Sus scrofa: one gene and its partner. The protein of the gene in region 2 purifies or fractionates together with the protein of the main gene of each other region. This does not show direct contact. Links are inferred from orthologs where the notes say so. Each region holds a gene or a part of one and is shown on either strand. Other genes may lie near its edges. The genes, in order: ENDOD1 and SLC34A2.

Region 1 (3,914 bases), on a different chromosome or scaffold from region 2:
TCGGAAGTCTTCCCCTTGCTCCTTCCCCACCCTCTTTTAGCTCCCCAGTGCCATTCCCCATCCCCTGGGGCCCAGGATCTCCACTGCCTACAGGACGGTTCTGTCCACTTCCCCTCTGCAGAATGAGCCATGCTCCTTCGGGCTCCTTCAATAACTGCATATAGGGGTCAGCCCCGATGCCCCCAAGCCCTGCTGGACCACTCCTCCACATTGCCGCCTCCCTTCCAAGACTCCTCTCAATTCTGATCTTCTGAGTAGCCCATCATCTACTCCCTTGCACTGGTTGAGCTGCTCCAACCACTCCCTACACACTAATCCTTGAGTCGGCCCCGTAGTGCTCACTCAGCATGTCCCCTCTGCTGGGGGTGTCCTCTTCCTTGTCTCCTCCCTGCACCATGCCTCATCTTCTAGGCACAGCACAAATGTCACTCTGACCTGAAGCCTTACCCCTGTCACCTCCAAGACAGATGAAATCTCATAGGACTTTTTTTACATTTTTAACCTGAGGGTGTTTTGCTCATGTCACAATAACAGCTAGGACTTATGTGCCAGGCACGCCTGAGAGCACTTTATATAGAGGAACTCACTTAATCCTCAAAATTCCCATTATGACCTCTAAGTTGACCTGCCCACATTTACAGTGAGTCCATGGAAGAACTAAGGCCTGATTCCACACGCTGTGTGGCCCTGATCAGAGGTGATGCCCCCTTTCCACCCAGCAGACCAGGGGGGCTCTGAGTCCCAGAACGACACTCTGTCTCCAGCACCCCAATTGCCTGGCACACAGCGGGTACCCACTAGCTGGGGTACTTCTAGATTTAACTCGAGCTCAAGGGGTAGAGTCGGGCACAAACTAACTTTAGATTAATATATGCCTTAAGTGTGCACAGTTTACACCCGACCTTATAGGTCCTGACCGCAACAGGATGTGGAGATGGTACGAAGACAGGTGCAGATGGCTTGAGTTCTGGTCAAGGTCCTTGAGCTAGGGATAACTGAATGTGATGACAGAAATTACAACCCAGGGCTCTGAATGAAACAGCTGGAAGCTGGTCCCCTATTCATGGTGCGGCCCTGGGCAGCCATGGCCATCAAGAACGGGTGAACTGAGTAGTCAGCTCCTTCCCCAGCTAGGGGGCAAGCCAGCCTGGCTGGGTGTTCTAGAGAAGAGGCTTGTCTCTGGAGGTAGACATGTGACAAGAGGTGTTAAGACAGGTTCAGTAGGGTCTCTGGGGGCCTCTTGGAATATTTGGTCACTCTCACCAGACAGAAGTAAAAACGCTGAGGCATGACCCGGTTTCTAAGTGGTCAGATAATGTGGATAGGAAGAGTCAGGAAAAACTGGTTTGTCTTTCCTCTTAGTTGGAGGTAGTCAATGTTTCCCTGCTATTTGTAACTATCCCATTGCATTTCTAAAAATCTGCACCTTCATTCCATTGTCCTAACTCAACACAACTTCAGATCGAATTTACTCAATGTCCCATGCAGAAGGAAAGGTTTTTCAGGCTCAGGTGGCCTGTGCAGAAGGGCAGCGTTTTCCTACTAGGAAAGGCAGTGAACTTCTAGCCAAAAGACCTGCCCATCTCTCTGCAAGTCTCTTCACCCGCCCTGAGCCTTGATCTCCTCTTCTGTAAACTGGGCATGAAAATGCCCAGCCACCCACCCACTCCCACAGAATTGCGGCAGCGACTTGCACCAAGGTCTCTGAGCTCCCAGCCTAGGCTTTCCGAAGATCCGAATGGTTTCCTGAGTCTCGGTCTCATATTCCTCTCGATTCAGGAAACGAATGAGACACTGCAGGTGTCCACACTGAAGTGCAGGGAGAACCCCTTCCCACTGGGGACCTCGGACCCCTGGAACTTAAGCGAAGTCTCGCACAGCACCGAGCTCTGGCTGTGGCTTTGACGCAGGGCGAGGCAGGCTGCAACTCGGGGGCGCGGTGGGGCGGATCGGAAACCCGGTTTCCCGACCTGGCACCGAGGGCTGGGGCTGCCCTTCTGCCCTTCCCCACCCTACCGCTAGCAGTGGCCACAGAGCGCCCCGGGGAGGCCAGCCCAGCGGCCGGGCTCGGGAAGCGCCTCGCTTACCTGCGGCTCCACCAGCCAGCGCTGCTCTGCGCCCAGCGGCGCGGGATGCGCGGCGCGGAACGCCGAGTACACGGGGATGCGGTCCCCGGTGCTGTACAAGGTGGCGAAGCGCTCGGCGCCCTCGGATCGCTGACAGATCTTCACGTGGGCAGCGGCCGCCAGCCCCGCGGGCGGGGTCCCGGCGTAGAAGAAGCGGTTGCATTCGCCGAAGCCGGCTTCCTCCTTGCGCACGAGCCGGCCCTCCAGCAGCCCGGCCAGGGCGAGGAGGCCGCCCAGCGCCAACCAGCGCGCGGGGCCCATGGCGCGTCTGCCGGCCGGACCGGGAGCGCGCGAGGCCGCCGAGCCGAGCGGCGGGGAAATCGGAAGCCGGGCGCGGCGCTGGGCGGGCCGGGCTGGGCGGCCCCGGCGGCGGGGGCGGTCCGCTCCCGGAGGCCGCGCCTCCTTTGCACCCTCCTTCCTGAAGATGGCCGCGCAGGCCAGGGCTCCGGCACCCGGCTGCGGACCAGATCCCCTGGGCTGCACCCGGCCTTGCGCCCCTGGTCCGCGCTCGCAGGCTCGGAAACGGGCGGTCCTCCCGAGGCTGAAAGGTCTGAACTGAGTCGGCTTACTCAAAGGGAACGGGAAGGGACGGTCCCCGGGGCAGGGAGCCTAATAGCCTCCTGAGCTAGCGCGCCCCAGGGACACTCAGGGATGCTAAGGGGCGGCTTGAGAGGACCACAGAACTGTGGCTCTTTGGAGCGGATGGGCGGGGACCTCCTGTGAAATCCGGTGAAAAGCAGTCTCCCGGTCCCCGACAAAACGCTCATTCGCCGGCATAAGAACACAATTTTGATGTAGCTTTAGCACATCTGAAGCCAGGAGATCCAAGAAATCCTGTTACAGGAAATTCCTAACCTAGGCAGATAGTACAGCCTATCTGTGGTTTACTTGGTGCGAAGGTTAGTATTAAAACCCAAACCGGAGTTCCCATCGTGGCTTAGCGGCAACGAATCTGACTAGCATCCATGAGTACCCAGGTTCGATCCCTGGCCTGGCTCAGTGGGTTAAGGAACCGTCCTAGCGAGAGAGCTGTGGTTTTGGTCGCAGAGGCGGCTCAGATCTGGCAGTTGCTGTGGTTGTGGTAGGCGGGCAGCTACTGCTTGGATTCAACCCCTATCCTGGGAACCTCCATATGCTTCAGGTGTGGCCCTAAAGAGACATACATACATACATACATACGTACATACATACGTACATAAATAAATAAAATATAACCAAAACCAAGAAAGAAACACGACAAGCGAACATCCCTGGGTTGGTACCTTTGTTGATTCATTACTTCATTACCTCTGTGTCAACCTGGATTAGGCAGCTGAGTACCATGGTAAACAAGAATAGGGTCCCTGTGGTCTAAAGACTAAGCCTAGTGGGAAAGCTTGTAGTTAATCAAAGAAGCAGGCTATTAAAGGAATAATGAAACACTAACATGGAGCTGTGAAACCTGCCCCTCCAGGGATTCAGGGCATGGTCTGGGAAAGCTGGCCTGCAAAAGTGGCATCTGAATTGAGACCAAGAGGATGACATGATCTAGGCAAAGAGGAAAGCAACCTGTGCCGAGGGGTCTCCCAGCAGGAGGGTACAGGATGTGTTGGAGGAATTTAAGGAAGGTGGGTGTGTGTACAACAGAGAACTGGGGGAAGGGATTGTGAGAAAAGGGGCTAAAGAAGGAGGCAGAGAATCATTCAGGCTGTCATAGGCTGGAAGCTGTCTATTGTTTTTGACGGGATCCACAATGAGAAACAAGCTTCATGCAGTAATACTTATGCTTACAATTGACATTGCAATCTG
Region 2 (3,814 bases):
TCATCAGTGAGCCCCGCCAGTGGTGGGAACAAAGGGCTCCCATGTCCTTGGGTAACCATCCCCCACTCCCACCCCCAAAAAGATGAGACACATGTTGAAGTCAAGGAGGCCAATTACTCCGTCCCACTGAGTGTCAATCTCCCTGGGCTTTTCCAGAGGCAGCCGAAGGGGGCAGTTCACAGACCCTCACCCATCTCTTCCATCTCTGCCTGGCTAAGCAGGAATGTGGGGCGGGGGTGGGGGAGTTAGCACCTTTCTCTGAAGGAACCCAGGTTACCTGGACGATGAGCTTCGTGAAGGGATCAGTGATAACTTTCAGAAGTTCTGGGGCATCCTCTCCACTCTTGAAGTGGAAGCTCTCCACCACCGTGCTGGTCAGGCGCTCCAGGTAACCGGTGGCTGCCTCCAGAGGCAAGAGCACCAACACGGAGAGCCAGTTGAAGAAGTCGTGGACAGTGGCCCCTGCAAAAGCCCTGCAGCAAGGGAAGGAACACCACCCCGAGCCAAATCAGTCAACCAGCCAGTGGGCACCAATCACCTAGGCAAGTCGTCACTTGTATCAACTGCCAGGTGTCACCTCTCTGTGTATGTACATGCGTACAATCCTTTCATTCTCACAGCAATCCCCAAAGTGGGTGGTCTTAATATTCCCATTCGGCAGATGGGGAAGCTGAGGGTCAGCAAGCGTGAAGGAATCGAAGACCACTGCATGTGCTCTGGTTCCTGGATCCTGGTTTTCCACTGTCTGGCAGAGTCCCTCCCACCAAAGCTGACAGTCCTTAGTTGGCTCCGCTTGGGAAAAATGGAGCTAGAGGTGGTCTGGCTGCAAGAATTAGCTCATCGAGCACTATTTGAAAAAAAACCTTCAAGACCACTTTTGAATCCACACATATTGAAGACAACCCAACCCTCCTTTTGGAAAGATGGGGGCCAGTCGTTAACCATCAAAGCCTCCTACATAACTGAATTCTTAACTTTAAGATCTTGAGACTTGTTCAAACATTTAAACAGCCTCCACAGGAAACAAAGCTGACATATACCACAATTTTCAACTGAGAAGGTTCAAAGATGCCCCATGAATTCTGTCTTATCTCCAGCTTAAGAAACTCATTTAAAAAATGGCTCAGTTGGAGTTCCCGTCGTGGCGCAGTGGTTAAGGAATCCCGACTAGGAACCATGAGGCTGCGGGTTCGATCCCTGGCCTTGCTCAGTGGGTTAAGGATCCAGTGTTGCCATGAGCTATGGTGTAGGTTGCAGACGAAGCTCGGATCCCGAGTTGCTATGGCTCTGAGGTAGGCTGGCGGCTACAGATCCTATTAGACCCCTAGCCTGGGAACCTCCATATGCTGTGGGAGCAGCCCTAGAAAATGCAAAAAAAAAAAAAAAAAAAAAAAAAAGAAGACCAAAAAAATAATAATAAAATAAAATAAAAATAAAAAATGGCTCAGTGGGTTAAGGATCCAGCGTTGCCATAAGTGGCAACAACATAGCTCACAGACGTGGCTTGGATCCAGTGTTGTTGGGACTGTGGCATAGGCCTGTAGGTGCAGATCTGATTCGACCCCTAGCCTGGGAACTTCCATATGCTGCCAAACCAAAGAGGACACAGAACATGAACAAACAGAAGCAAATAACACATGGGGGAGAAACCCTTGACCTCACTAGTAATAGAAGAAATTTGCAATTTATTTATGTGGAAGCACAAATTTCCACTTACCCTATTAACTAATACGTTACAATGTTAACTTTTTCTTCCTGGAGAGGATGGATTAAGTTTTAGGATTTTTAAGACATTTTCATACACTGCCAACACAAAGTGATACAAATACTTCTTCATAGTTTGGCAAAATATTTAAAGAGCCTTATAGTTGTTTGAGATAGTAATTATTGTTCTAGAAATCTATCTAGGAACAAATTACCTGGATGGAATGATACCTATTTCCCAAGATGTTACTGAAAGCATTGTATTTAAATATCCCAAACAGGGGTGTGTTAGGTCAATTATATTCCTATGTACAAGCACTTTCAAAGATTTTTAAAGGTTGTATTCCACGTATAGTTATTATAAAATATTGGCTATATTCCCTGTATTGTGTAATACATCCTTATAGCTCATTTTACACCCAGTAGTTATACACTTACTCCCCTCCCCCATCCGGCCCTTCCTGCTCCCCTCTCTCCACTGGTAACTGCTCATATCTGTGAGTTTTGCTTCTTTTGTTTTATTCACTAGTTTGTGGTATTTTTCTGTCTCCACACATAAGTGATATCACATAGTATTTGTTTCTGTCTGACTCATTTCACTTAGCATAATGCCCTGCATGTCCACCCATGTTGCTGAAAATGGTGAAAATCTCATTCTTTAAGGCTGGGTATAGATCATATGTATATAGCACATATAACACATGTACCACATCCTCTTTATCCATTGCTCTGGGGATAGATATTTCCATAACTTGGCAATTGTAAATAATGTTGCTCTGAATATCGGAGTGCATGTATCTTTTCAAAGAAGTGTTTTTGGGTTTTGGTTTGTCTTTTTTTTTTTTTTTTGGTTGGGGAGTGCTTCTCTATTTTGACAAACTCTGGAAAAAGCCCAGCACCAGTTAGAAGTGAGCCTGTGAAATGTGCTTAGTTTTCACATTAACATGCTGGAAGAAAAGGGTTCTCTTTGCCTGAATTCACCCCTCTGCGTCCCATTTTCAGATCTCACTCATCCACAATAAAGGCTCCTTTTTGCTTTTTATTGGCATGTGAGTGAAGAACAAAGAAAAAGTGGCATGGGTTGAACCGGCCCCAAATGGAAGCTTTTAGGAGCTTATAATGATTTCTGATTAAGTGAAACTATTCAAACTGGCCTTGTTTTAACTACACCACTCAGTAGGTCAAGCTTCGGGAGGGAGCCGGAGTGTGCAGGGCACCTTGCTAAGAATTTATCTCATGATCGTGTTCATTCCTTTAGACAGCGTGGTGGGTGAGAAATACGTTATCCCGGCTCTGCAGGTTGGGGAGCTTATTTAATCCACGGGTCAAAATGTGATCTCAGTCCCCAGCTGTACCCACCATGGCTTCATCTCACAAGTCTAGGGACAGCGACCCAGCTCCCATTGGCCACTTAACGGCAGTTAGGACAATGTGGTCTTGACACCGATGGGCCTGGTGGTGGCTAAGGCTTCACGTGAGCCTCCTACCTTCTGAACTCATTCCGGTCTCCTGCCTGCAAGAGAGCCACGAGGGTGTTGGTGATGGAGGTTCCGATGTTGGCTCCCATGATGATGGGGATTGCAGAGCGCACGGTCAGCACTGGAGGGAGAAAAGGCTAAGCGAGTTAGCAAGTTTAGGAAGGTCACTTGGCCATGTTTCCGATGTGGCCCAAGGCAAGCTGACATCTTTCGGGCTGGTAATCCACTAAAGCATCAGTTGTTTTTTTTTGTTTTTGTTTTTGTTTTTTTTTTTTTTTTAGGGCCGCACCCAGCAGCACATGGAGGTTCCCAGGCTAGGAGTCAAGTCGCAGCTACAGCTGCCAGTCTACACCACAACCACAGCCACGTGGGATCCGAACCACGTCTTCAACCTGCACCACAGCTCAGGGCAACACCAGCTCCTTAACCCACTGAGCGAGGCCAGGGATGGAACCTGTGTCCTCATGGATGCTAGTCATTTGTTAACTGCTGAGAACAGTTTTGGGAACTCCCTAAAGCATCAATTCTTGACCTCTTTAGGGTCTGCACCTCACTGTGAATCTGACAAAAGCTTGGAAAGCTCATTATAGAAATATGGACACATACAAAAAAAAAATTCCAGTTTATAATTT

Evidence for each region.
Region 1: the proteins of SLC34A2 (region 2) and ENDOD1 purify together in Homo sapiens (co-immunoprecipitation; 3 studies listed by BioGRID and IntAct, counting the BioPlex papers as one, with this or other methods). This does not show direct contact. The link is inferred for Sus scrofa from reciprocal best matches to the Homo sapiens genes SLC34A2 and ENDOD1.

What each region holds. Positions count from the first base shown.
Region 1 is NC_010451.4:27,132,581-27,136,494, reverse strand, and holds the start of ENDOD1 (endonuclease domain-containing 1 protein), read right to left. Parts: upstream 2,457-3,914; 5' UTR 2,388-2,456; coding exon 2,088-2,387; intron 1-2,087. UniProt on the Homo sapiens protein: May act as a DNase and a RNase. Plays a role in the modulation of innate immune signaling through the cGAS-STING pathway by interacting with RNF26.
Region 2 is NC_010450.4:19,498,059-19,501,872, reverse strand, and holds part of SLC34A2 (sodium-dependent phosphate transport protein 2B), read right to left. Parts: intron 3,304-3,814; coding exon 3,192-3,303; intron 474-3,191; coding exon 278-473; intron 1-277. UniProt on the Homo sapiens protein: Involved in actively transporting phosphate into cells via Na(+) cotransport.